Arabidopsis thaliana: one gene and its partners. The protein of the gene in region 1 interacts with the protein of each later gene in a pairwise test. Each region holds a gene or a part of one and is shown in the gene's direction. Other genes may lie near its edges. The genes, in order: MOS14, SR34, RAN-1 and RS2Z33.

Region 1 (5,875 bases):
ACATATGACTATGAAGTGGGAGATCTATGTTAAATAAAAAAACACTAATTGGTGAATATTATTGTAAACATAGGCGATCGAGTACTTACTAGGATGGACATATGGTACGAAGATCAAATTTTTAATCCAAACATATACGTTTTTTCCTTAAACACGTCAGAATGAAATTACCAAAGTAACATGATTTGGTTTTGCTAGTATGTATTTTTTTCTAAGAGAGATGCATTGTCCTTTGGTGTATTTAAGTTGTTCACAGTAAAATTACCAAAGTTGTTCACAGTAAAAAATAATTTAATCAAAGGATAACTAAAAGACATAATTGTGAGATTTTTATTTTTTATTTTTGATAGAAATTATTTAGGTTATTGCGCCATAATATATCTTTTCTATTCAATTTTGTTTCTAAACGAAACGAAAATTTTACCATTGTAATATTTTTTTTATAACAGAAACGGCAAAATATTTGATGTAAGCTGTGTAATTAATGAGATTTTCTGAAAGTATTGGTGATAAATCATCTTCCATTGCATACTAGTGGCGCATTATCACTACCCACATCTGTCTTACCTTCTCCGATCTCTCTCTCTATTTGTCCACCTCACACACAACCCTATAAACAAGACAAGACCTCGCAAAGCTCAAACCTTTTCCTTCTTTTTTTCTATCAAGTTCCTCACTTCTCGGATCCGGGTCCTAAATCTGGGTCAACCCTTTTTACGATCATCGGAAATGGACCCTCCACTAGTGAACGATTCCTCCTTCTCTGCAGCTAATCCTTCTTCTTACACTCTCTCCGAGATTTGGCCTTTCCCTGTAAACGACGCCGTTCGCTCTGGTCTCCGTTTAGCTGTTAACTCCGGTCGAGTCTTTACTCGCTCTGAACATTCCGGCAATAAAGACGTCTCCGCGGCTGAGGAATCTACAGTCACCGATCTAACTGCTGGCTGGGGAAGTAGAAAGACTAGAGATTTGAACTCTGAGGATGATTCTTCAAAGATGGTTTCTTCCAGCAGCAGTGGTAATGAATTGGTGAGATTTTGCACTTCAATTTTTGAAAAGTCCTGATTTTTATTTGTTGGGTCTTTTGAATGTTTGAATCTAGATCCTTTAGCTTGGTGGTGATCTAAAAATCAATGAGTCAAAGTTTAAGTCTTTGGTTTAGGGATCAAGGATTAGTTTATAGATTAGATGACTTATCTCCATTGACTTTTTGACTTAAGTTGGATTCAGCTTGAAGACCATTAGTTTGATAGATGTTGGAATGGTCAATGCTTACTTAGTGATCTTAGATTGAGAGTTTGATTTAGGATCTTAAAGCTTTCCATCTGTTTACTTTTTTAATAGAAAGAATCAGGGGATAAGAAAAGAAAACTGTGTGGATCTGAAAGTGGAAATGGAGATGGTTCGATGAGACCTGAAGGCGAAACAAGTTCGGGTGGTGGTGGAAGCAAAGCAACGGAACAGAAGAACAAACCTGAGCCACCAAAGGATTATATTCATGTGAGAGCAAGAAGAGGACAAGCTACTGACCGGCATAGTTTAGCAGAGCGAGTAATTCTTCTGCTAAAATCACCATAAATTTTATCCTCAAAAACTGTTCCTTTTATTAGAATCACAATGTTGTCTTTGACAGGCTAGAAGAGAAAAGATCAGTGAGAAGATGACAGCTCTTCAAGATATAATTCCAGGATGTAATAAGGTACATGTTCTTTTGGTCCCTGCTTGTGAATGATGTTATTATAGCCTAAAAAACATTCAACAAGATATTTCTGTTGATCAGATAATCGGAAAAGCCCTTGTGCTCGATGAGATTATCAATTATATTCAGTCATTGCAGCGGCAAGTTGAGGTAAAAGTCGTTAACACCTCTCTGTTATATGTTACAATTATACATGCCTAAGCATGGAGTTTGGTCTGCAGTTTCTATCAATGAAGCTAGAAGTTGTTAACTCGGGTGCAAGTACTGGTCCGACAATAGGAGTTTTTCCTTCCGGTGATGTAAGTCCCAAATCTAAAAGAACATAGAAAAATCTTATCTTTCTTAATCAAAGCTACTAAATCTAAAAGCTCTTGGTGTGTTGTATCAGCTCGGGACTTTACCGATTGACGTTCATCGAACAATATACGAGCAACAAGAAGCTAATGAAACCCGAGTATCTCAACCGGAGTGGCTCCATATGCAGGTTGATGGGAACTTTAACCGAACCACATAAAAAAGAGTCTTTCTCTGATTGATGGATGTGTTTTGTAGGCAGTAAAAATGAATGCAACCCTTTATTTTTTATCCTATGCGTGTGTATCATTTTGCTGTTATATCATAAGATAGAATATGAGAGTGACCAGAGAGATTAACACTTTATAAAACATTGTTGTATTGTCCTATTATATAACTTGTAACAATTGATTCAGTAACATATGTTGGTCTTAAATCTTGTCCTTTGTATAATCTTTATGTTATGATGAATCAATGATACGTTTTTTTTGTTGTCTTCAATTTATTGCAACAACTGAAAAAAAGTAAACAACTTCTGTCTTCAAAATAAAAGAAGAAGGATTTGACTTTAAGTCAAAGTAATTGTATCTAACGGCTGAGATTCTCTCTTCTTCATCCTCTTTCAGATCAAAATTCGATCTCTATCTCTCTTCCTCACTCAAGTTGAGGGGCGCCAAAAAAAAACCTTTTTGACAAAGAGGGAAAAAAAAAGTTTTTATTTTTATTGTTTTTGTTGGGCGAAATCGATTTGACAAAATCCCGAATTTCAGTTGGGCAAATTCTTCTATTTCTCAATCTGGGTCTTTCTCTCTGGTCGTGATTTGGTGACCGTACGAGCGAATAACGCGTAAAGATTCATAGCTATGGAGCATCAGAACGCGGTCAAAGAAGCCCTAAACGCACTGTATCATCACCCGGATGATACAGTGCGTGTGCACGCTGATCGCTGGCTTCAGAACTTCCAAGGAACTCTCGATGCTTGGCAGGCGAGTTTTTTCTTTTCGATTTCAATTATTTAATCTCGATTTGTTTAGGTTCGATTTGTTCTTCCTTGTTTTGTAGCACTTGTGCTAGAGTTTAATGTTCGATTTTCAGCTACTGTAGACCATATAGGTGCATAAAGTTTCATCCTTTAGTCAATTTGTATTAGTGATTTGCTCTTTAAGGTCATATAGGCTTATGCATAGCAGAAATCTCAAAATTTCAGTACGTCTAAGTTCATTTCTGAGTTACTTTAGACTATATAAGTGCATAAATTTTCATCCTTTAGTCAATTTGTATTAGCGATTCGCTTGTTAAGGTCATATAGGCTTATGCATAGCAGAAATCTCGAATTTTCAGTACATCTAAGTTCAATTGTGCACTTTTTCCTGTAGCTGGTTTGAGAAGTATGTGTAAGGTGTGTGAATAGATTTACCTTGTTAGAGAAACGATTAGCTAGGTTTTATATGAGCTCTTTTCTTTTAGACCCATGATTGTTGTTGCGGAGAAGAGGATTTTTTTTGATGGAGAAGTTCTACAATATTTCTTACTCTGTGCTGTTGTATGTTTTCTAGGTTGCGGATAATTTACTTCATGATTCTTCTAGCAATTTGGAAACTTTGATATTCTGTTCTCAGACCCTTCGAAGCAAGGTAAATGCACCTGAATGTTTCTGTAAATCCTTATTCATTTATCACACAATCTTGGAGCATTCTGGTGACATCTAGTCTGTCTCACTCGAAGGTTCAACGAGATTTTGAAGAACTACCACCTGGGGCTTTTCAGAAGCTACGGCAATCATTAACGGTAATTCTTTGTTCTATTAACTATTTCTTCCAAAGTTGTAGGGTTTCATGAGTTATTCATTAGTATGTCTGTTCCTTTGAGCAATAACATAATAGGAAAACTCAGTTGAACTAGAGTATTCTGGGATCTAGGTTTTACTATGATTTCATCTTTCTGGCCTATTATTCTTGGTATTGGACAATTACTTCCCGGAAAATTTTGACTTTCATTATTTTCTCAAATGCAGACATTGTTAAAAAAGTTCCACAAGGGCCCTCCAAAAGTTAGGACCCAGGTAAGTGCATATGTGGAATTTTCTGTTGTGCGTATAAAGTCATGTACTTTGTGTCGAGTTATCTTATTTAAGTATTTTATATTGTAGATTAGCATTGCTGTTGCTGCCTTGGCGGTGCATGTTCCTGCGGCAGACTGGGGAGATGGTGGTATAATTAGCTGGCTTAGGGATGAGATGCATATGCATCCTGAATATGTGCCTGGTTTCTTGGAACTCTTGACAGTTTTGCCCGAGGTAGAGTATTTTTTATTCCTTTGTTTAAGTGTTCATCTCACTCAGTAATTAATTTGACTTCATGTATCCGGCTATATAGATATGAAAGGCCTTATTTTGGTCTGACTTGGATCTTCTTACTTATTATTTATGCTGGTATTACTGACCTCAAATTGGGTAGACCTATTTGGAGAATATTCTGTTCCTTTTTTACTTTTTCCATATCTATGTTTAGGTAGCATTCGACGTTACTCTGTGAGTGTTATTTCAATCCCTAAAGTATTGGCTGGGCAAGACCTTGATATTTTGTATGGTATTGTTTGCAAAAAATGTTGGTAGTTTATTTGTAACTAAATGAAGATTCTAATTTTTTCACAAATCTCTACCACATCGTTTGACCTTTCCCTTTCATTAACTTGATTCACTTTAGGAATGTTTAGCTTTAATCTAGATGGTTATATGATGTCTTGATCTTATATTGTCCTTCTTGCTATGACCAGGAAACATTTAACTACAAAATAGCTGCTCGTCCGGATCGACGACGTCAATTCGAAAAAGAGCTTACTTCTCAAATGGAAGCTGCACTTAGTATCTTATCAGCATGTTTGAAAATATCCGAACTTAAGGAACAGGTCAGAGCTTATCTTTAATATAGAGTCGTGACATAGTTCAGTACATAGTTTGTTATTCACTTTCCATGATCCCTCTGTATAACACATCAAAATAACCTTCTTCTTTTTATGTTTTCTGATGCATGTCTGTTTTTTTACTTTCCACTAGTTTTTACTTTCTTTACCAGTCAGAGTCTATGTTTGCCTTGTCAAAACATATTTGCTAGTTTTAGGTAAAAGCTTGATTACATCTTAGGTTTTCACTCACCTGCCAAAATTTAATATGTCTTCTTGCATTATTGTTAGCTTCTGAAAAATGTCCCATGTTCCTGTGTGTTGGACCAGCTAGTGTTTTTGGTGTTGCAAGAAGTCACTTATTGTCAATTGTGTTCTGTAATTTTGATTTTTCAGGTTCTCGAGGCATTTGCTTCTTGGCTCCGTCTTAGGCATGGGTATGCTCTTTTCTTTTGCTTTTCTATCTCCAGTTTTATTTAGAACAAAAGCTCGTCTAGATTACAAATATTCATTGCGAGTTCGTCAGGTTGTAAATTGTTTTAATATATGGGTCATAGATTTTGTCCTATATAGAATCATCTTAGACACAAAGCTAAGTTTATCTGATTTGTTGCTGTTGGTTTCTACTTGCTATCCTTCTTTATTTTCACCAATTCAACTTAGCAACGATGATACTGACTGAACTGTATACTGGTGAACTTTGGGGTGGTCTTTTTCAGGATTCCTGGAACAGTGCTTGCCTGTCATCCATTGGTGCATGCAGCTCTCTCAAGTTTGAACTGTGATCCACTATCAGAGGCATCTGTTAATGGTATACTAGTTGGAAAAGCTAATATATACATAGGCCTTTAGAGTCTTGGGATACTTCACATTGATATATTTTTCCCCGTAAATTGAAATATCTTTACTGAATAGAGACTATTTATGGATGAGTTATTTTGTGATATCTTCTGGTATTGGAACACTATGGGAGCTGCGAAA
Region 2 (6,733 bases), on another chromosome or scaffold:
AAAACGTCAGCGTTTTGTTAAAGCGACGAGAAAACAGAGCAATACATAACGTTTTTGTTTCAGAAACAGATGTTACCTGAAAACGGCGTTCGAGAGCTTTTCGGAGCCGAAGACGGATTGGATCTTAGCGTTAGCGAGAGAACGAGCCATTGTGGTTTATAGGTTTTACGAGTTTTGGAGAAGAAGAAAAACAGCGCAAAAGAGAAGTTTCTCAGGTTCTTGATCTGATGACTGCTGTTACCTTTTTGCGGCAACGAGATCGAACAAACTTGGTCGTCCTATCTCTCTTGACAGATTTCAAAATGCTTTGCAGGATAGATGAGAAGGAAGAGAGATGAGAGGAGGGTTTATATAGAGGAAGCAGAGCAGATAGGCTGCGTCAATTTAGGCTTTCACCCAAAGTTATTGTTTTCTGTTTCTTTTGATTTTTTTTTTTGGGTTTAGGGTTTTAAAGTTAGTTGTAACTTATAATTAAAATTGTTTTCAAAGTCGTTTTGTATGTAATTAACAACTTGTTTTACTTATCTGGATTTAAAATTAATTAACTCATCTAATATACAAGTATACTATAGTTTGACCAAAACCAATTTTTATCTTCTTTTTTTTGTAGTCAACCGAAAATATAAATGTTCATATATGAAATTACCATATGTACGTATTCATAATGCTCAAAAGAAATTAATGATATATTTAGATATTTTTTTATCTCCTAAATAATTGTGATTGCATATATTTAGATATTTTTTGATCTCCTAAACTAAATTGAGTCGGAACCACTCAATTCTGCCGAACCAACACGGCCTCAAAAAGAGTCGGCCATTTAGTCACTCTTTCTTTCAGAATTTTGAAATGAACTTAGTCCTCATCCTTGTGTCAATTTTAACCACCAAAATCATACGACAGCAAAAACTTGGACAATTAATAAAGATCCGTCCTAAGCAGGAAAAATATAGACCAAGTGTAATTAAAAATGAATGAAGAAGGTCGAGCTTAATCTTCCTCGTAACTAGCTACTTCATCGTCAATCCTGAAGTAGCGTACCTCGTAGACATTTTTGTCTTTGTTAGATGCAATCACTCGTAGCCAATCACGGAGATTGTACTTCTTCAAATATTTCTTTGTCAGATACTTCAAGTACCTGAATTCAAAACCAGATTTTTGCAATTTAAGAGCAAGTTAGGGTTTCTAAAGACGTGTGAGAGAAGAAAAGAAGTTTACCGTTTGGAGAAATTGGAATTGGCGTTGACATTGATCTTTCCATTATATCGGGTGATGGAGACGGAGTTACCAAGAGCACCGGCTTTACCTCTGACCTTGATTCGTTCCTGAAGAAACTTCTCAAGCGTGGCTATCTCCAAGATCGTATCATCAACTGGTTTAGAGCAGTCGATCACAAAAGAAACTCCTTTCTTCTTAGCACCAGCTCCACTCGACTTGGCCCCTACTCGAGCCATCTTCCTACAGAGATTGAATTGAATGAAACTCTCTTGCTTAGATTAGACGTTGGCTCGAAAAGATGAAAATCTTCCCGCGGCGAGGTTAGGGATGGACTATATAAATGACCCACAAGAGTCCCTAGGGTTTTGTTTAGTGTTAGCCCAATGGGCTTCTTAGGCCCAATACTTGGGCTAAGAGCTTGTCTAATTTCTGTTTGATCCGAAATGATATCAAATATTGAACCGGCCTCGGTTCAATTAATCTTTGTTCAACATCAAGAGATATTTGATCACATAAAACCTGTACCGTATTTCATTTCCTAGAGTAGTTATCTCAGCATTTAAAAGATGTGGAGGAAACTATATCAAACACTGGTTTATTCTCTTACAATTGTACAATTATGAATAAAACATCTATACAACTTCTCAAGGCTTTGCGATTTCGCATTGCGACTCGGAAGCAGTTTTTCATCTTAGTGGATGAAAGTCAGTCACCTGAAGAAATAACAGTGCTTTGATCGAATCTATAAGTAAAAGAATGTTATGAGTCATGGAATCAATAGCTTTGTAATCATTCCTTCTGCCTCGACGACATCTATAGTGAGATTTTTTGTCTGACAACTCTTTCTCCTCAGCACAAATCTCCTTGCTTGATTCTGTATCTGCTTAACAAATCAAAAACTTCAAAATCAGATTTCTCTAAGAGCAACAAAGACATATCTCAAGGCAAAAGACTTTTAACTACAAACCAATTCAACAAGGTTCTTACGCCTATAATGAAAGAACAATGTCAAATTTTGGAGAGAACCAACCCTAGTTAGTGATCAAACATGTTTTGCCATATTTGTCTTCCTAAAACTAACCTTACAATTTCTATGTTTGTAGCTGGCTATAATTAAGACGACTGACGGAGAATGACATTACTCGAACAATATAGTCTTAGAAGCATCTCCATAAAGTTGGAATGGTCACAGGCAAATGAACCTATCTAACAACAAGCCAGTTTCGGAGACATGTAATTTTTTTGTTTGTGAGAATTTTTTAAGTTGCTTTCTTTGTAATGTTTTAAGATTTTGATTAAAGCAGATAATTGAAACGTTTCTTCGCCACACTATAGTATATAAAAGGCTCACGTGACTCACGTGACGCTCCCTTATTAACCTATATCGTTCGCCAACTTCGAAACCCTAAATTCCCAAATTGCGGAGGCTGAGAGATCTCAAATCGACGACCAACAGGTGAATTTTCGCTTCCTCTGCTTCAGACATTCTTGATAAAGTTTGAATCTTGACTTTGGACTTGTGTTTTTGGATTTGATAAAGGAAGAATGAGCAGTCGTTCGAGTAGAACCGTGTACGTCGGAAACCTTCCTGGCGATATCCGTGAGAGAGAGGTCGAAGATTTGTTCAGTAAGGTAAAGGATTCGTCTTTATGCTATGTAAACCTTGTTTTCGCTTACACTCGATAATAATAAGTCTCCGTAACATTTATTTCTTCCTTTTGTTTCAGTATGGACCTGTTGTTCAAATTGATTTGAAGGTTCCTCCAAGGCCTCCTGGTTATGCATTCGTTGAGGTCAGCTTACCACCTCTTATTCTTGCAGTGACATGTGTTATGATTCTTGATGTTATTACAGTTTGGCTCTCTGTTGTTATGATTCGAGAATTTGAACTTGTTCTGACTTTTCTTCCTATTTGTGTTTCGTTAATCTGTTTAGTTTGATGATGCTCGGGATGCTGAAGATGCTATTCATGGTCGTGATGGCTATGACTTTGATGGGCATCGTTTGAGGGTTAGTTATTATTACTCGAATTTCAGATATTTAATTACAACTCTTGAGTGTTTTCGGATTGGTTTTCAATCTAATTTAACGAATGTTTGCCTTTTGTAGGTGGAATTGGCGCATGGTGGGAGGCGTTCATCAGATGATACTCGGGGTAGTTTCAATGGTGGTGGCCGTGGTGGTGGTCGCGGCCGTGGTGATGGTGGTAGTCGTGGGCCATCTAGGAGATCAGAGTTTCGTGGTATGTAGTCATATAATTTGCATTATTCTGTCCAAAGTTGTAGGAATTGTTCCTAATTTTACTTGTTTTTCTTTTGTCCACCACAGTTCTAGTCACAGGCTTGCCTTCATCTGCTTCTTGGCAAGATCTCAAGGTGACTTCACACTGGTCAACAAAACTCCTTACTTCCCCTTGTATCTTTAAAGTTTCTGAATTCTAACATGAATCACTTTTACATTAGGATCACATGCGTAAAGGAGGCGATGTCTGTTTCTCGCAAGTGTACCGTGATGCTAGAGGTAATAAGTGTGCCCATATAATCTTGTCCATCGAAAACCAAGTTGAATGGTTTTAATCTTGGACAATCTTACTGTAGGGACAACTGGAGTTGTTGATTACACCTGCTATGAGGACATGAAGTATGCGGTAAGCTATTTTCCCTGTTTCTCTTCTGTGGTTGAGAGTTTGTTCTACTCATCCTTAATCACTGATTAGCTCTCACTCTTGAATTTCCCCAGCTGAAAAAGCTCGACGACACAGAGTTTCGAAATGCGTTTTCGAATGGATATGTCCGGGTTAGTTGAAGCTGACTTTCCTGTGAATTGTGATCTTTTCATTGTTGTGTTTAATATTTTGTTTCATATCTCTTTAGGTTAGAGAATATGATTCAAGGAAGGATTCTAGGAGTCCTAGCCGGGGAAGATCCTATTCTAAGAGCCGCAGCCGCAGCCGTGGACGAAGCGTGAGCCGAAGCAGGAGCAGAAGCAGGAGCAGGAGCAGAAGTCCCAAGGCAAAGTCTTCACGTAGGTCCCCTGCAAAATCTACATCAAGATCTCCTGGCCCCCGCTCGAAGTCAAGGTCACCGTCTCCAAGAAGGTAATGATTTGATTCCTTTTCAGAATGCACCAGGCAACATTACTTAGTCGGTAGATTTTCCTGTGAAGTTTATGAAAATCTGATTAGAAAAGTCATTGTTGATGCTCAAAGTTCTTGTTGATTGAGCATATACTGGTTTTTTGTTGACACCTGCTGTTTGCTCGTCATTATTGTCCCTTCTTACTCCATCCTTATATTTAGATGCTTAGCCCTTTTCTGGTTAAGATTTGCGAGATTGGCCTTACATTTTTAGCATTTTTAAATATGCTCTTTTCTTTCCTGAGAAGAAAATGGTTTTGTTTCATAGATATGGATTTACATACGACTAGAAAATGGAAATTAATATCTGGATGGAAATTGATTGTTGACAAGTGTTTCGTCTAAGAGGTATGGGAAACTTTGGAATAGAGACTTTGCTTTTCGTGGCTTCCTGATATAGTATTCACTAATTTACATTGCTGCTAGATGGATAACAGTGGAGACATTGGATCACTTGGATCACAATATTATATCGGGATTTCTGTAAAACTATATTGGCTCGATGGATTGACAATATGGAATCTGGGTTCTCTTGGGACGTCCGTGGCTCATTTGGCAACACAAGTTTTTTTGGCCACATGGCTTATAAAACCTCTGTCCTATCACCTATGTTTTAACTAAGTAGCAGAATAGTTTGGTTTATGTTTCTTTTTTTTTATTTGTTGCAACTTCTTAATCTCTGTGAGATAGAAGGAGAGGCTCCAGGACCTTGCTGAACAGTATAAAACACAACATGTTTGGATTTTTGAATCTGAGTTTCTTTTCTTGGACTTTTGCAGATCGCGTTCAAGATCAAGATCTCCTCTACCTTCTGTGAGTAACAAGATCCAACTTGTGACCCCTCTTTTATTTTGACATAATCTTCTGTTTTACATTGTTCGTTATCTTAATAGCTTTTCTGTATCACAGGTTCAGAAGGAAGGAAGCAAGAGCCCTAGCAAGCCAAGTCCAGCCAAGAGTCCTATCCACACTAGGAGTCCATCGAGGTACATAATCTTTCTTAGAAATGAAACATTGCAATCTGATTTTGTTTGATAATGCGTAAATCTGAATCTGAGCTCTTGTTTGCAGGTAAAATGGGAGATATCCAGGTGAAAAGAGAAGAGAGAAGCATCTTCTTGCTACTCAAAACAAATTCTACTTTCTTGAAGTGGATTATATCTGAACGCTTATTGACTGTAGAAGATGCGACAAGTTTGATTTGCACTATCATTTTGTAATATTCTTGCCATTCTTCGTCTTCTGGATCCCTTTACTTTTGAGAATGATGTTTTTTTTTGAAGATATCGTTTCTTTTCCCTCCTTCTGATTCATCCTTTTCTTAATTAACTAAAGCTCTCACTTAAACAACGTCGTGTTTAGACCTGATCCGGAATCTGACTGTATAGCCTGAACTGTACGATTCCAGTAACCGGTGAATCTTGTCTGGAGACGTCTGCTTTGAACTTGGTTTTTGTGGTGAACTCAGTCCTTTGTTCGTTTCCCTAATTTCTCATGCTCTTTTGCAATCATATCATGTTCGATTCCATCTTTATAGTTCTATATCCTTGGTATAGTAGTGCCTGATTTGGATTCTCTGTCCTCTTTAGCTTAGAGAGCTATATAAGCCTGAAGACAAAACTTGATTTTATTGGATGATATAGAACATGCAACAAAAGGCAATCAACAATCTCTTTGAAAAGTATTCGCTGCTCATTGAGAGATAATGAAAGTGTCTTTACTTAGAGAGTGTGGTACTATGGTGTTGATCACTCAATATGTTAACATGTGGGTCCAAACAAAAAAATACTAAAGCTAAGGAAACAAACAAAAAGCCTTTTGAAAGCTAATGCTGCTCCCTATTTTCTATATCGTTGGACGATTTGCTCTTTACTTCTTCATCAAACTTGTCAAAACAAGTGGACCCACTCCTAGAAGCAGACGAATGCAGTTCCGTGTTTCAACCAAACTTGTACTTGCTTGTTAAAGTACTTAAATAATCTATCACAAGGGGTTCACCGTTCGTATTTGTTCTTGCTTGCTAAAGTTTTTTTGCTCTGTACGGTGACAAGACCAGAGAGATGAAGTTATTGAGCAATAGTCTAATGTTCCTTCCTCTGCTGGCTTTGGCTTTAACCGCAGTTTCGTCGCTTAAATACAGCAGAAATGACTTCCCTCCAGGCTTTGTCTTTGGCTCTGGCACATCAGCTTATCAGGTTCTTCAACCCTTTTTTGAGTATTTTTCCTGAGATGTAACATTACATATATATTCACCTTCATGTTAGAATGATAAAAGATCAGAAACTATCAGATAAACCAGTGTTTTGTCTATAAATTCCAACAGGTGGAAGGAGCTGCTGACGAAGATGGGAGAACTCCTAGCATTTGGGATGTTTTTGC
Region 3 (5,470 bases), about 18 Mb from region 1:
AATACTTTCCCATGTTTCAGGTTCATCCAGAGGGGAAGTATGTTGTCGATATTGACAAAAGTATAGACATAACGAAACTCACTCCATCAACGAGAGTTGCTCTCCGTAATGATAGCTATGTTCTCCACCTGGTTCTGCCAAGTAAAGTAGATCCCTTGGTTAACCTTATGAAAGTTGAGAAGGTTCCAGACTCCACATATGACATGATTGGTGGTCTTGACCAGCAAATCAAGGAAATAAAGGAGGTATGCATAGTGAAAGAAACAAACGATACTAAAAGTCACTGGTTTCATGCTTTTAAATTTTATATAATATCTTTACTGGTTTATCAGGTCATTGAACTGCCAATCAAGCATCCTGAATTGTTTGAGTCTCTTGGAATTGCGCAGCCAAAGGTACACTTGAATTTCAAAGCTTATCTATATTGTGACGCTGCTAAGTGGATTTCGAACTGATTGCTTCTCCCTCTCTTTTAAGGGTGTGTTGTTGTACGGTCCACCTGGAACTGGGAAGACACTATTGGCTCGGGCTGTGGCACATCACACTGACTGTACTTTCATCAGAGTTTCTGGTTCTGAGCTGGTCCAGAAATACATTGGAGAAGGTTCTAGAATGGTCAGAGAACTTTTTGTGATGGCAAGGTTTGTACATGCTAGTCCTTATTTAATATTTCAAGCATGGTAAAAGTGGTAGGTTGGAAAAGATGGAACTTTTGACACGATAAATCTTTTACATGCCCGTGCTTAGTAGCTGTAGTGGACATGTGGAGTAAAATAAATTGAGTAAATTGTTCTCTGTTCCTGCTATGAATATGGTTTCAACATGTATACGATCTCAAGCATAATGATCTTTACAAGTAGTCTCGATGCCTAGCATTTAGGCCACAGTAATAGTCTTTTGTAATGAGCAAAGTATACACCATTAATCATCTTCATTGTGCTGAAAAATACTTATTCCAGCTAGCTTACCTTTCTAGTACCTCTGGCTTATGGTTTTCAGGGAGCATGCACCATCAATCATCTTCATGGATGAAATCGATAGTATCGGGTCTGCTCGTATGGAATCTGGTAGTGGAAATGGTGACAGTGAGGTGCAAAGGACTATGCTTGAGCTTCTCAATCAACTTGACGGATTCGAGGCGTCAAACAAAATCAAGGTATGCCTTATGTTGTGAATGAAAAAATAGTCATGAAGCTGAAAAGGATAACTCTGTGTTACTCTGAATTTCGCAGACAAAGTTGTTAATTCTCTTAAATGACTGTTGCAGGTTTTGATGGCTACAAATCGTATTGATATTCTGGATCAAGCTCTTCTCCGGCCTGGAAGGATTGATAGGAAAATTGAATTTCCTAATCCTAATGAAGAGGTAATGCTTGTGTTTCTTAGGACATGATATTAGAAATAACTTTAAACTTGAAGTAGCAACTTTGCTCACTCCGTTGTTTTTGGTAAACTATCATTTACTGCGTAAAATACTTTTCTCCATACTTATTGTACCCAAAGTGAGGCAGGACGGTTTGGCTAATGTATATTTCTAATATGTGTTGCAGTCACGTTTTGATATCTTGAAGATACACTCAAGGAAAATGAATTTGATGCGTGGAATCGATCTGAAAAAGATTGCAGAGAAGATGAATGGTGCTTCAGGTGCTGAGCTGAAGGTAAGTGTTTCTCTGTCCCTGCTTCTGTCTTGTTCTCTCCAATCTGTCTCTCTCTAATGTTTTTGGTTATTACGGTCAGGCTGTATGCACGGAGGCGGGCATGTTTGCACTTCGTGAGAGGAGAGTACATGTGACTCAGGAAGACTTTGAGATGGCTGTGGCGAAGGTAATGAAGAAAGACACAGAGAAGAACATGTCTCTGCGTAAGCTCTGGAAGTAGGAATTTCAGAGTCACAGATTAATTTCGATTATTTCTTCTCTACTGTCTGTGGTTCTTTCTGAAACCTTTTCGGCTAGCGCTTTAAGCTTTTCTAAACAATGTTTGTACACTAGTTTCTATTCATTCAAATGGTTGTTCAGCATAACATCTTCGATTCAACCAAGCTTACATTTTACATCTTAAGAGTATATTCTTCTCCAACTCAGTCTCATTAGCTTAAAGAGAAAACCAACTAAAAGATTGTTTGAGACAAAATAATCGACATAGCTTTGTACCTGAGATCCACCGCTGAGGTCAATAGTGAGTGATTTGAATTTGGAGTGTACATTAATTTAGAAATTCAACCCATCTGGCATGTGTCAAGAATAATTTGAAAACTATCCGTTATGAACAATAAAAATCCTTATTGATGAATGGTGTCTATTATTAAAAATTGAGGTATAAATATGATAAAGAAAATAAATAATTTATTTTGTCAAAACCAACGCGTATATATTGTAATGAATTTAATTTCAAAATTTGCTAAATGTGAAAAAAGGAAAGAAAAATCAATGCCGATGAATGAGTACGCGTGGACCTAAAGCTAGAAAAAGATCCAACGGTGGAGAAAGCTGCGTTAAAATTGCAGAAGAACCAAAGAGAAAGAATCCAACGGCCAATAGTGTAGCGTCAACTCAAAGCCAAACCCTCCCAAATTTCTCTTTTAAAAACCCCAATCTCTCTCTCCCTCTCCATCTTCATTCTCCCTCTCGCCGCTTCCTTCTTAACACCATCGCCTGAATTCGCTCTCCTCTAGCTCGCGATTGCGAAAACATGGTACATGTTCTCTTCGATTTTACCGATTTCTTCTTCGTGTATTATCAGATTGTATACCTTGATCTAGGATTATCTCCGTCTCAGATCTCACGAGATTGCGTCGATGTTTCCATGTTCTAGTTTCTAATTTCGTCGTGGATATATTTTTCAGGCTCTACCTAACCAGCAAACCGTAGATTATCCCAGCTTCAAGCTTGTCATTGTTGGTGATGGAGGCACAGGTACGGTACTCTTCGCCGTGTTTTTTTTTATCGATTAATCAATGCTTGGATTTACGTTGATGGTGATTGGGGTGATAGAGATAGGCTCATATGCTAAGCAGATTTTGCTAGTCGACTCTTTATAATCCGTACTGTTGTATCCAGTGGCTCAATTGATTTCAAGTATGGTAATGTGTTTTGATTGTTTTGCTAAACCTTTGATTGCTTTTGGTGGTTGTGCAGGGAAGACTACTTTTGTTAAGAGACATCTTACTGGGGAGTTTGAGAAGAAGTATGAACGTAAGTATTGCTTGTGAATGTTCAGATTTCTGTTCTTCATGTCTCTTAAATGATTCTGATTTTGAGTCGTAATCTTGTTTGTTGCAGCTACTATTGGTGTGGAGGTTCATCCATTAGATTTCTTCACAAACTGTGGCAAGATCCGTTTTTACTGCTGGGACACTGCTGGACAAGAGAAATTTGGTGGCCTTAGGGATGGATACTAGTAAGTGTGGACCCTTTACTTTCTCATTGATAGGTTAGTGTCTAGAGTCAATCTAGAGTGTGCTTAGTTTGGATTAGCTCTGGTTAGGATTTGAAATTGGCAACCGATTAACCTGGACAATGGGTATAAGACTGGTATGTTTTGAAGTATGCATAGTTTGCAACTGATTTTGTTACCTGGACAAATAGAGTAGAACTTGAATTTTAATTTTGATATTCCATCTGGATGTATAGCTAATCATCTTTGAATTTCTTGCAGCATCCATGGTCAATGTGCTATAATAATGTTTGACGTCACAGCACGGCTCACATACAAGAATGTTCCGACATGGCACCGTGATCTCTGCAGGGTGTGTGAAAACATCCCGATTGTTCTGTGTGGGAACAAAGTTGATGTGAAGAACAGGCAAGTGAAGGCAAAGCAGGTTACATTCCACAGGAAGAAGAATCTGCAGTACTATGAGATATCAGCAAAGAGCAACTACAACTTTGAGAAGCCTTTCTTGTACCTTGCTAGAAAACTGGCTGGAGACCAAAACCTTCACTTTGTGGAGACACCAGCGCTTGCTCCACCAGAGGTTCACATTGACATTGCTGATCAGCAGAAGAACGAGGCCGAGCTCTTACAGGCTGCAGCTCAACCCCTCCCCGATGACGATGATGATATCTTTGAGTAAATCATCCTTCTAGAATGTCTGCCGTGGGAAGCTCTTGCTTGTTCCTTTTGGTTTTCTCTATGTTGTTTTGGTGTTACATATAAATCAATCGGTCTTTCTTATAACAAAAATTAGGTATGTATTTTTGGATGGTTCTTCTGATGGTATCCAAAGCTAAGTTGTTTCTTCGCAAGAATATTAGTTGATTGGAAAACTTTATTCTACCTCCTATTACTTGCCAGTTCTTAGATTTCAGATGCCACTCTTTAGCTACCAGGTGATGTCATATAAACCTGGGTAAAATTAGCTGCAAGTAGATCTTGTTGGGAGACCTGACCTGCATTGACAATGGTTAAGTTCTTTGCCTTCCCCGATCTCTCTAGCTTTGCAGATTCTTCTGCAATCCTCTTCCTTTTCTTCTTTGAAACTTGATCTTCTTAATCAATCCGCACCAGAACTTGTAGAATAATAATCGGATAACTTTTTGTTTGGCAACCATTCTTGCATTGAAGAATGAAGTAACCCTTTCCCTCAAATCAACGACCGATTTCAATCCGTGATTCCAGACATTTTCTTCAACCGTGAGCTCTAAGACCAATTTCTGCAAGTTTGAGCTTAAGAATTTATCGATGTGTATATTAATTTCTGGAAATATTGTTGGTATTAATATGTTACCATTAAATTTGAAAGGCATCATTAGATGGATGTCATGTGAGTGAGTACTTGAAATTTTGAAACTATCCGTTACGGACAATAAATCCTTATTTAAATGATTTGTTAGTAAAAAACTATGCTACAAATAAAATCAAAACTTCACATACGATACAGGAAATAAATATATTATTTATTTTGTCAAAACTCAAAACCAGGACCTAAAGCTGAAAAAAAAAAGATCCAACGGTGCAGAAAGCTGCGTAGATATTGGAGAGCCAAAAGATGGAATCTAACGGTGGAAAAAATAGCGTCAAACCTAAGCCAAAACCTCCCAAAATTCTCCTTATTAAAACCCCATCTCTCTCCCTAGTCCCTCTCGCCGCATCGCTTCTTAAACCTCGACGACATCAACGTCTGACTTCGCTTCTCCTCTCACATGGTGAACATTCTCTTCTCTTTTCCCGATTTCTTCGTCTTGTAGTATTTAGATCTCACGAGATCGCTTAATTTCGTTGATGTTTCTTTTTTCGGATTTTACTGAATTTTGTTGTGATATCTTGTTCAGGCTCTACCTAACCAACAAACCGTAGATTATCCTAGCTTCAAGCTCGTCATCGTTGGTGATGGAGGCACAGGTACAGTATTCTTCGCCGTGTTTTTTGACCTATTGTTTTTTGTGATCTCTGAAATTTGATCGTCTTTTCACTGTCCCCATCTGAAAGCATTCTCGTTTAAGAGACGGATTTGAGATTTTGATGA
Region 4 (5,750 bases), on another chromosome or scaffold:
GAAGGGGAGATGATGGCGGTTCTTGGAGCAAGTGGGTCCGGTAAATCAACACTGATCGATGCATTAGCCAACCGGATCGCAAAAGATAGCCTCAGGGGATCCATTACCTTAAACGGAGAAGTTCTTGAATCAAGCATGCAGAAAGTCATATCGGCTTACGTGATGCAAGACGACCTTCTCTTCCCGATGCTTACCGTGGAGGAAACTCTAATGTTCTCTGCAGAGTTCAGGCTCCCTCGTTCACTCTCCAAGAAGAAGAAGAAAGCAAGGGTTCAAGCTCTGATTGACCAATTAGGCCTAAGGAGCGCTGCAAAAACCGTGATTGGTGATGAAGGCCACAGAGGAGTGTCTGGAGGAGAAAGGAGACGGGTATCAATTGGAAACGACATAATCCATGACCCAATCATCCTCTTTCTAGATGAGCCAACCTCAGGGCTCGACTCTACAAGCGCCTACATGGTTATCAAAGTCCTTCAGAGAATCGCACAAAGTGGCAGCATAGTTATCATGTCAATCCATCAGCCTAGTTACAGAATCATGGGTCTTCTAGATCAGTTAATCTTCCTTTCTAAGGGAAACACAGTCTACAGCGGCTCACCAACACATCTCCCTCAGTTCTTCTCAGAATTCAAGCACCCAATTCCTGAAAACGAGAACAAAACAGAGTTCGCTCTCGATCTCATCCGAGAGCTGGAATATTCTACAGAAGGAACCAAGCCACTTGTCGAGTTCCACAAGCAATGGCGAGCAAAGCAAGCACCAAGCTACAACAACAATAACAAGAGAAACACCAACGTATCTTCTCTCAAAGAAGCGATAACCGCGAGTATCTCAAGAGGGAAACTCGTCTCTGGAGCAACGAACAACAACTCATCAAACCTAACACCATCATTCCAAACATTCGCCAATCCTTTCTGGATTGAAATGATAGTAATAGGCAAACGTGCTATATTAAACTCAAGAAGACAACCAGAACTCCTCGGAATGAGACTAGGAGCTGTAATGGTCACCGGAATCATCCTAGCTACAATGTTCACTAACCTAGACAATTCCCCAAAAGGAGCACAAGAACGTTTAGGATTCTTCGCATTCGCAATGTCAACAACATTCTACACATGTGCAGAAGCAATCCCAGTCTTTCTACAAGAACGTTACATATTCATGAGAGAAACAGCTTACAACGCTTACCGGAGATCCTCCTACGTCCTCTCTCAATCCATAATCTCAATCCCGGCCTTAATCGTCCTCTCCGCAAGCTTCGCCGCCACAACATTCTGGGCCGTTGGTCTCGACGGAGGCGCCAATGGTTTCTTCTTCTTCTACTTCACAATCCTAGCCTCATTTTGGGCAGGAAGCTCCTTCGTAACGTTCCTCTCCGGCGTTATACCAAACGTAATGCTCGGATTCACAGTCGTAGTAGCGATCCTCGCTTACTTCCTCCTCTTCTCCGGATTCTTCATCTCTCGAGATCGAATTCCTGTTTACTGGCTCTGGTTCCATTACATCTCCTTGGTGAAATACCCTTACGAAGGAGTGTTGCAGAACGAATTTCAAAATCCGACGAGATGTTTCGCCAGAGGAGTTCAGTTATTCGACAATTCGCCGTTGGGGGAGTTTCCGAACGATGTGAAAGTGAATCTGTTGAAGAGTATGAGCGGTGTATTGGGGACGAATGTGACGGCGGAGACTTGTGTGACGACGGGGATTGATATTTTGAAACAGCAAGGGATTACGGATATTAGTAAATGGAATTGTTTGTGGATTACTGTTGCTTGGGGTTTTTTCTTTAGGGTTTTGTTTTATTTCACTCTCTTGATTGGTAGCAAGAACAAACGGAAGTGATTAAACAGTTGTTCTTTTTTTTTTTTTGAAAAAAGGTTTGTTGTAATTTTGTTTCCTTTTTCTTTCAATTATATAATTGTATGTCCTTGCTATATTTAATCGATTAATTAAAGAATAATAAAGTCATAATTTATGAAATGAAAAATACCGGTGATATTTATATATCTTCATTCTTTTTATTCTGTAAAAAATGAAAGTGCTTTAGGAAAAAAAAATGCTAAATGTTAAAAAAAAAACAGAAAATAAAAATCTAAGCTAATTGCTATTAGTATTTCTTTAATAACAAAATAGGATTATAGGCGGACTTTGATTTGTTCATCAAAGAATAGTTTATAACATGAATTGGTAAACGGTAAAATTTATCCTAGAAGGTAGAAGATAGATGTCATAAACTATGCATAAATAGATAGATGTCATAACAAATCTGATCACTTTTAGATGTTGTAAGTTTTTAAAGATTAGAGGATCCAATTTGTTATAATGAATTTGCATAACTAGATATATAGTTTAGTCTGGATAACTCATTACTATTAGTCTTTAAGCAAATGTGATCAGAGTGTGCAACATAGAAGAATACCGAGACATACAAAACTTGCAATTTGTAAACCACCATTCTTATTTTACAATTTACACAAATTAAATGGGCCTTATTAATATAAGGCCCAACAGATTGCAAAATGGTGAATATGGCAACATCGATTCTTATCTCTTTTTAAAGATATTTACCGTTGGTTTAGGACACAACACCAAATTATTACCGTTGGATTTAGTCGGTTCTGTCTGAAGCCCATTTTTGTTTTTTTCTGTCAGCGTCTGAAGCCCATTTATAAACACTTGAAAACCATACTTTAGCTACCTTACGCTGTTCTTCCCCTTTCCTTCCGAAATTAGGGCTTCCGTGTTTCGCAGTGCTCTCCTTCAATCCCCAGGTATCGAAACTCTGCTCAATTCGATGATTCATATTGAAATTTAGTGCTTTCACTGCTCGGAATTACGATTTTATATTGGTTCGATGCATCTGCGGTGATGGTTTCCTTAGCTTCTGTCTTTCCGATTTATCGCTTCCTTGTCTCTGAATTAACTAAATGGCGTCTTCTTTGGGGCTTTTTTATAGGTCTTGAGTTAGTGAATTTTTGTTACGTTCTTGTTTTATAGTTTCTAACAGGTTATGCTCAAAAATCTGTGGTTTCTTTGTCCCTTTTTTTTGATTTTGTAGCTTGACAATGCCTCGCTATGATGATCGCTATGGGAACACTCGTCTTTACGTTGGCCGATTATCATCGAGAACTAGGACCCGAGACCTTGAACGTCTTTTTAGCAGATACGGAAGGTAATTGACTCTTCTATCTATGATTATGGACGAAGTATTTTGATTTCTCGGTAATTGGAATAAATGATGGTCTCAATGTGATTTTTCTAGTTATATAGTACGTAAATTGCTATTGTGCGAGGAAACAATTGCAGAAAGTTAAAAGTATCGAGGAGCATAATGCTTCTTTATCTTGACATATTGATTTCTATGTGTTGGGGTTAGTTAAATGAGAGTCTTCATGCGCCTTTCTATATATCTTGGTTATGAAAATTGTTAGTGCGAGGGAGAGATGCAGAAAGTCGTCATTAAGCATCGAGGGGCATAGTTTTGGTTCTGTATTTTGATATTTGTGTTCTTGAGGGAAAGTTGTGGAACTAGGTTTAGTCATTAGTGTATGTTTTTAACTTGAATGATCTTATTGAAGGTCTCTGGGATTTTGCCTAACCTGGAGGTGTTTGATGAGTGGGTGGACTTGGTGGAAATTCTCGCCAAGTGTTTAGGGGACAGGGCGCCTTGGCGATTCTGTTTGTAGAATTTTTTAATGTGTTTTGATGGAAATGGAGACTCAGTCTCAAAAATGGTGTTTAGAAGTACCTTAAAGTAATGATGGCCTTACTTTTCTGCCAACAATTTCTTCCGCAGAGTGCGAGATGTGGATATGAAGCGAGATTATGCTTTCGTTGTAAGTAAAATCTCCTTTTAACCTGAGCTTTCGATTTCTTGAAAAAGTCATGTAGTACGTTTTTTAGTCGGAACCAATGTATAATGTGGGAAAACACACCATGCATGTGGTCTCTTTTGTCCTCACATTTTCGAAATCAGGAATTTGGTGATCCCCGTGATGCTGATGATGCAAGACATTACCTGGACGGACGAGACTTTGATGGAAGTCGCATCACTGTGGAGTTTTCACGAGGGGTGAGTTGTTTGGCTCTCTATTTTCAGGCTCTATCATTTGTTTATAGGTATGGTTGAATGTGTTTGCCAAACTCATTAGAAATCAATATTATGTTTGTATGATAGGCACCTCGTGGTTCTCGGGATTTTGATAGCAGAGGCCCACCACCTGGAGCTGGTCGCTGTTTTAACTGTGGTGTAGATGGTCATTGGGCTCGTGACTGCACAGCAGGGGACTGGAAGAACAAGTGTTACCGTTGTGGAGAGAGAGGACACATTGAGAGAAACTGCAAAAACAGCCCCAAGAAGCTTAGGTACTAACATTTCTTTCAGAAGTGCATTTTTTGTTATTCTTTCCACTTTCTCATCTCCCTTTCTTGGATTGTATGGCAGGCGCAGTGGAAGCTACTCCAGGTCACCTGTAAGATCCCGTTCTCCTCGTCGTAGAAGAAGCCCAAGCCGGAGTCTTAGCCGTAGCCGAAGCTACAGGTTAGTATTTGCCCGTGTAAACTTCAAAATTTTGGTTTATGTTTAGGTGTTTACATGCATTAGATTTATGTATGAACCTGAAAGCATGAATCCGAGTAACTGCTTTCTCTGATTGACTTCTTATTTTCCTTATGGTCAGCCGATCACGATCCCCGGTGAGAAGAAGAGAGAGGAGTGTGGAGGAGAGATCACGCAGTCCAAAGCGGATGGATGACTCTCTATCGCCAAGAGCCAGAGATCGTAGTCCGGTTCTTGATGATGAAGGCAGCCCAAAGATCATAGACGGGAGCCCACCACCATCACCAAAGCTTCAAAAGGAAGTCGGATCTGACCGTGACGGTGGTAGCCCCCAAGACAATGGCAGAAACTCTGTTGTCAGTCCTGTTGTAGGAGCCGGTGGTGACAGTTCGAAAGAGGACCGGAGCCCTGTTGATGATGATTACGAGCCAAACCGCACTTCCCCTAGAGGAAGTGAGTCTCCTTAACTTTGATGGCTCATGGCCACGGCTTGCAGGCATTGTAGCATGTATACTATTGGATCGACTGTTCCTTTCTCTTTTAAGTGTGTTTGCTTTAGAACCTTTTAAGTTTCATGTTACCAAGAGTTTTTTCATTTGAGACATAATGTTGTTGCGTTTCTTTTGGACAAGTTTTCGAAGATTGTTATAAGGATTTATAAAAGTTTCAATCTGAGGAGAAGACATGAGTTTGTAACTGGTAAGCTTTAGTGAAGAAAGATGGCCAACAAAGATAAGTAGACGTGATGCTACTAACCGTAGCTGCTCCTACCATCATGTTCATGACTACTATCTGAAGCTGAATAGCTTCTAGAGGCGACGCCCCGCCCATTATCATACCAGTCATTGCGCCTGGTAGAGAGATCAATCCAACGGTTTTGCAGCTATCTAAAACCGGAGACAGAGAGATCACTAGTGCTCTCTTCACCTGTTGCAACGTCGCTTGTCTTGGCGTTGCTCCTAGTGCCAATGCCGTCTCCACCTACGGTTCACGACAAAATCAAATAAACCGGAAAATCTAATTAAACCGGGAATTTGGTTTGGTTATAGTTTTTTTTACCAGGTTGAGTTGCATTTTGATGTCATCTCGAAGCTGTTTCATGGTAACTCCGGTGACGGTCATGGCATTTCCGACCAACATTCCGGCGATTGGGATCATATACCTCGGAGTGAAAGGAAAGACGTTGAGGAGG

What was found.
Region 2: the proteins of MOS14 (region 1) and SR34 interact in a two-hybrid assay, tested with the Arabidopsis thaliana proteins (one study listed by BioGRID).
Region 3: the proteins of MOS14 (region 1) and RAN-1 interact in a two-hybrid assay, tested with the Arabidopsis thaliana proteins (one study listed by BioGRID).
Region 4: the proteins of MOS14 (region 1) and RS2Z33 interact in a two-hybrid assay, tested with the Arabidopsis thaliana proteins (one study listed by BioGRID).

What each region holds. Positions count from the first base shown.
Region 1 is NC_003076.8:25,129,455-25,135,329, reverse strand, and holds the start of MOS14 (ARM repeat superfamily protein), read left to right. Parts: upstream 1-2,613; 5' UTR 2,614-2,856; coding exon 2,857-2,979; intron 2,980-3,549; coding exon 3,550-3,627; intron 3,628-3,718; coding exon 3,719-3,781; intron 3,782-4,007; coding exon 4,008-4,055; intron 4,056-4,142; coding exon 4,143-4,289; intron 4,290-4,768; coding exon 4,769-4,900; intron 4,901-5,290; coding exon 5,291-5,331; intron 5,332-5,613; coding exon 5,614-5,705; intron 5,706-5,875. Other genes in the region: AT5G62610 (basic helix-loop-helix (bHLH) DNA-binding superfamily protein), read left to right, coding at 730-1,029, 1,345-1,551, 1,634-1,699, 1,781-1,849, 1,921-1,998, 2,088-2,213. UniProt on the Arabidopsis thaliana protein: Functions as a nuclear import receptor for serine-arginine rich (SR) proteins. Regulates nuclear import of SR proteins that are required for proper splicing of the two resistance (R) genes SNC1 and RPS4, a crucial step for their functions in plant immunity.
Region 2 is NC_003070.9:624,155-630,887, forward strand, and holds SR34 (RNA-binding (RRM/RBD/RNP motifs) family protein), read left to right. Parts: upstream 1-2,484; 5' UTR 2,485-2,674; intron 2,675-2,758; 5' UTR 2,759-2,763; coding exon 2,764-2,850; intron 2,851-2,945; coding exon 2,946-3,011; intron 3,012-3,153; coding exon 3,154-3,228; intron 3,229-3,327; coding exon 3,328-3,460; intron 3,461-3,546; coding exon 3,547-3,593; intron 3,594-3,680; coding exon 3,681-3,738; intron 3,739-3,815; coding exon 3,816-3,865; intron 3,866-3,957; coding exon 3,958-4,014; intron 4,015-4,091; coding exon 4,092-4,315; intron 4,316-4,622; coding exon of another isoform or gene 4,623-4,644; exon of another isoform or gene 4,645-4,780; coding exon of another isoform or gene 4,781-4,841; exon of another isoform or gene 4,842-5,133; coding exon 5,134-5,167; intron 5,168-5,263; coding exon 5,264-5,340; intron 5,341-5,425; coding exon 5,426-5,429; 3' UTR 5,430-5,839; downstream 5,840-6,733. Other genes in the region: LEA3 (Late embryogenesis abundant 3 (LEA3) family protein), read right to left, coding at 77-150; AT1G02830 (Ribosomal L22e protein family), read right to left, coding at 991-1,138, 1,219-1,454; BGLU11 (beta glucosidase 11), read left to right, coding at 6,415-6,549, 6,678-6,733.
Region 3 is NC_003076.8:6,757,670-6,763,139, forward strand, and holds RAN-1 (RAS-related nuclear protein-1), read left to right. Parts: upstream 1-2,424; 5' UTR 2,425-2,694; coding exon 2,695-2,697; intron 2,698-2,848; coding exon 2,849-2,918; intron 2,919-3,140; coding exon 3,141-3,197; intron 3,198-3,284; coding exon 3,285-3,402; intron 3,403-3,660; coding exon 3,661-4,078; 3' UTR 4,079-4,661; downstream 4,662-5,470. Other genes in the region: AT5G20000 (AAA-type ATPase family protein), read left to right, coding at 21-245, 333-395, 478-641, 1,000-1,156, 1,268-1,366, 1,551-1,661, 1,741-1,881; RAN2 (RAS-related GTP-binding nuclear protein 2), read left to right, coding at 5,148-5,150, 5,277-5,346. UniProt on the Arabidopsis thaliana protein: GTP-binding protein involved in nucleocytoplasmic transport. Required for the import of protein into the nucleus and also for RNA export. Involved in chromatin condensation and control of cell cycle.
Region 4 is NC_003071.7:15,669,647-15,675,396, reverse strand, and holds RS2Z33 (arginine/serine-rich zinc knuckle-containing protein 33), read left to right. Parts: upstream 1-2,696; 5' UTR 2,697-2,771; exon of another isoform or gene 2,772-2,956; intron 2,957-3,058; 5' UTR 3,059-3,065; coding exon 3,066-3,172; exon of another isoform or gene 3,173-3,796; coding exon 3,797-3,836; exon of another isoform or gene 3,837-3,919; coding exon of another isoform or gene 3,920-3,976; coding exon 3,977-4,072; intron 4,073-4,177; coding exon 4,178-4,365; intron 4,366-4,444; coding exon 4,445-4,540; intron 4,541-4,679; coding exon 4,680-5,025; 3' UTR 5,026-5,224; downstream 5,225-5,750. Other genes in the region: ABCG2 (ABC-2 type transporter family protein), read left to right, coding at 1-1,842; ALS3 (aluminum sensitive 3), read right to left, coding at 5,225-5,539, 5,618-5,750.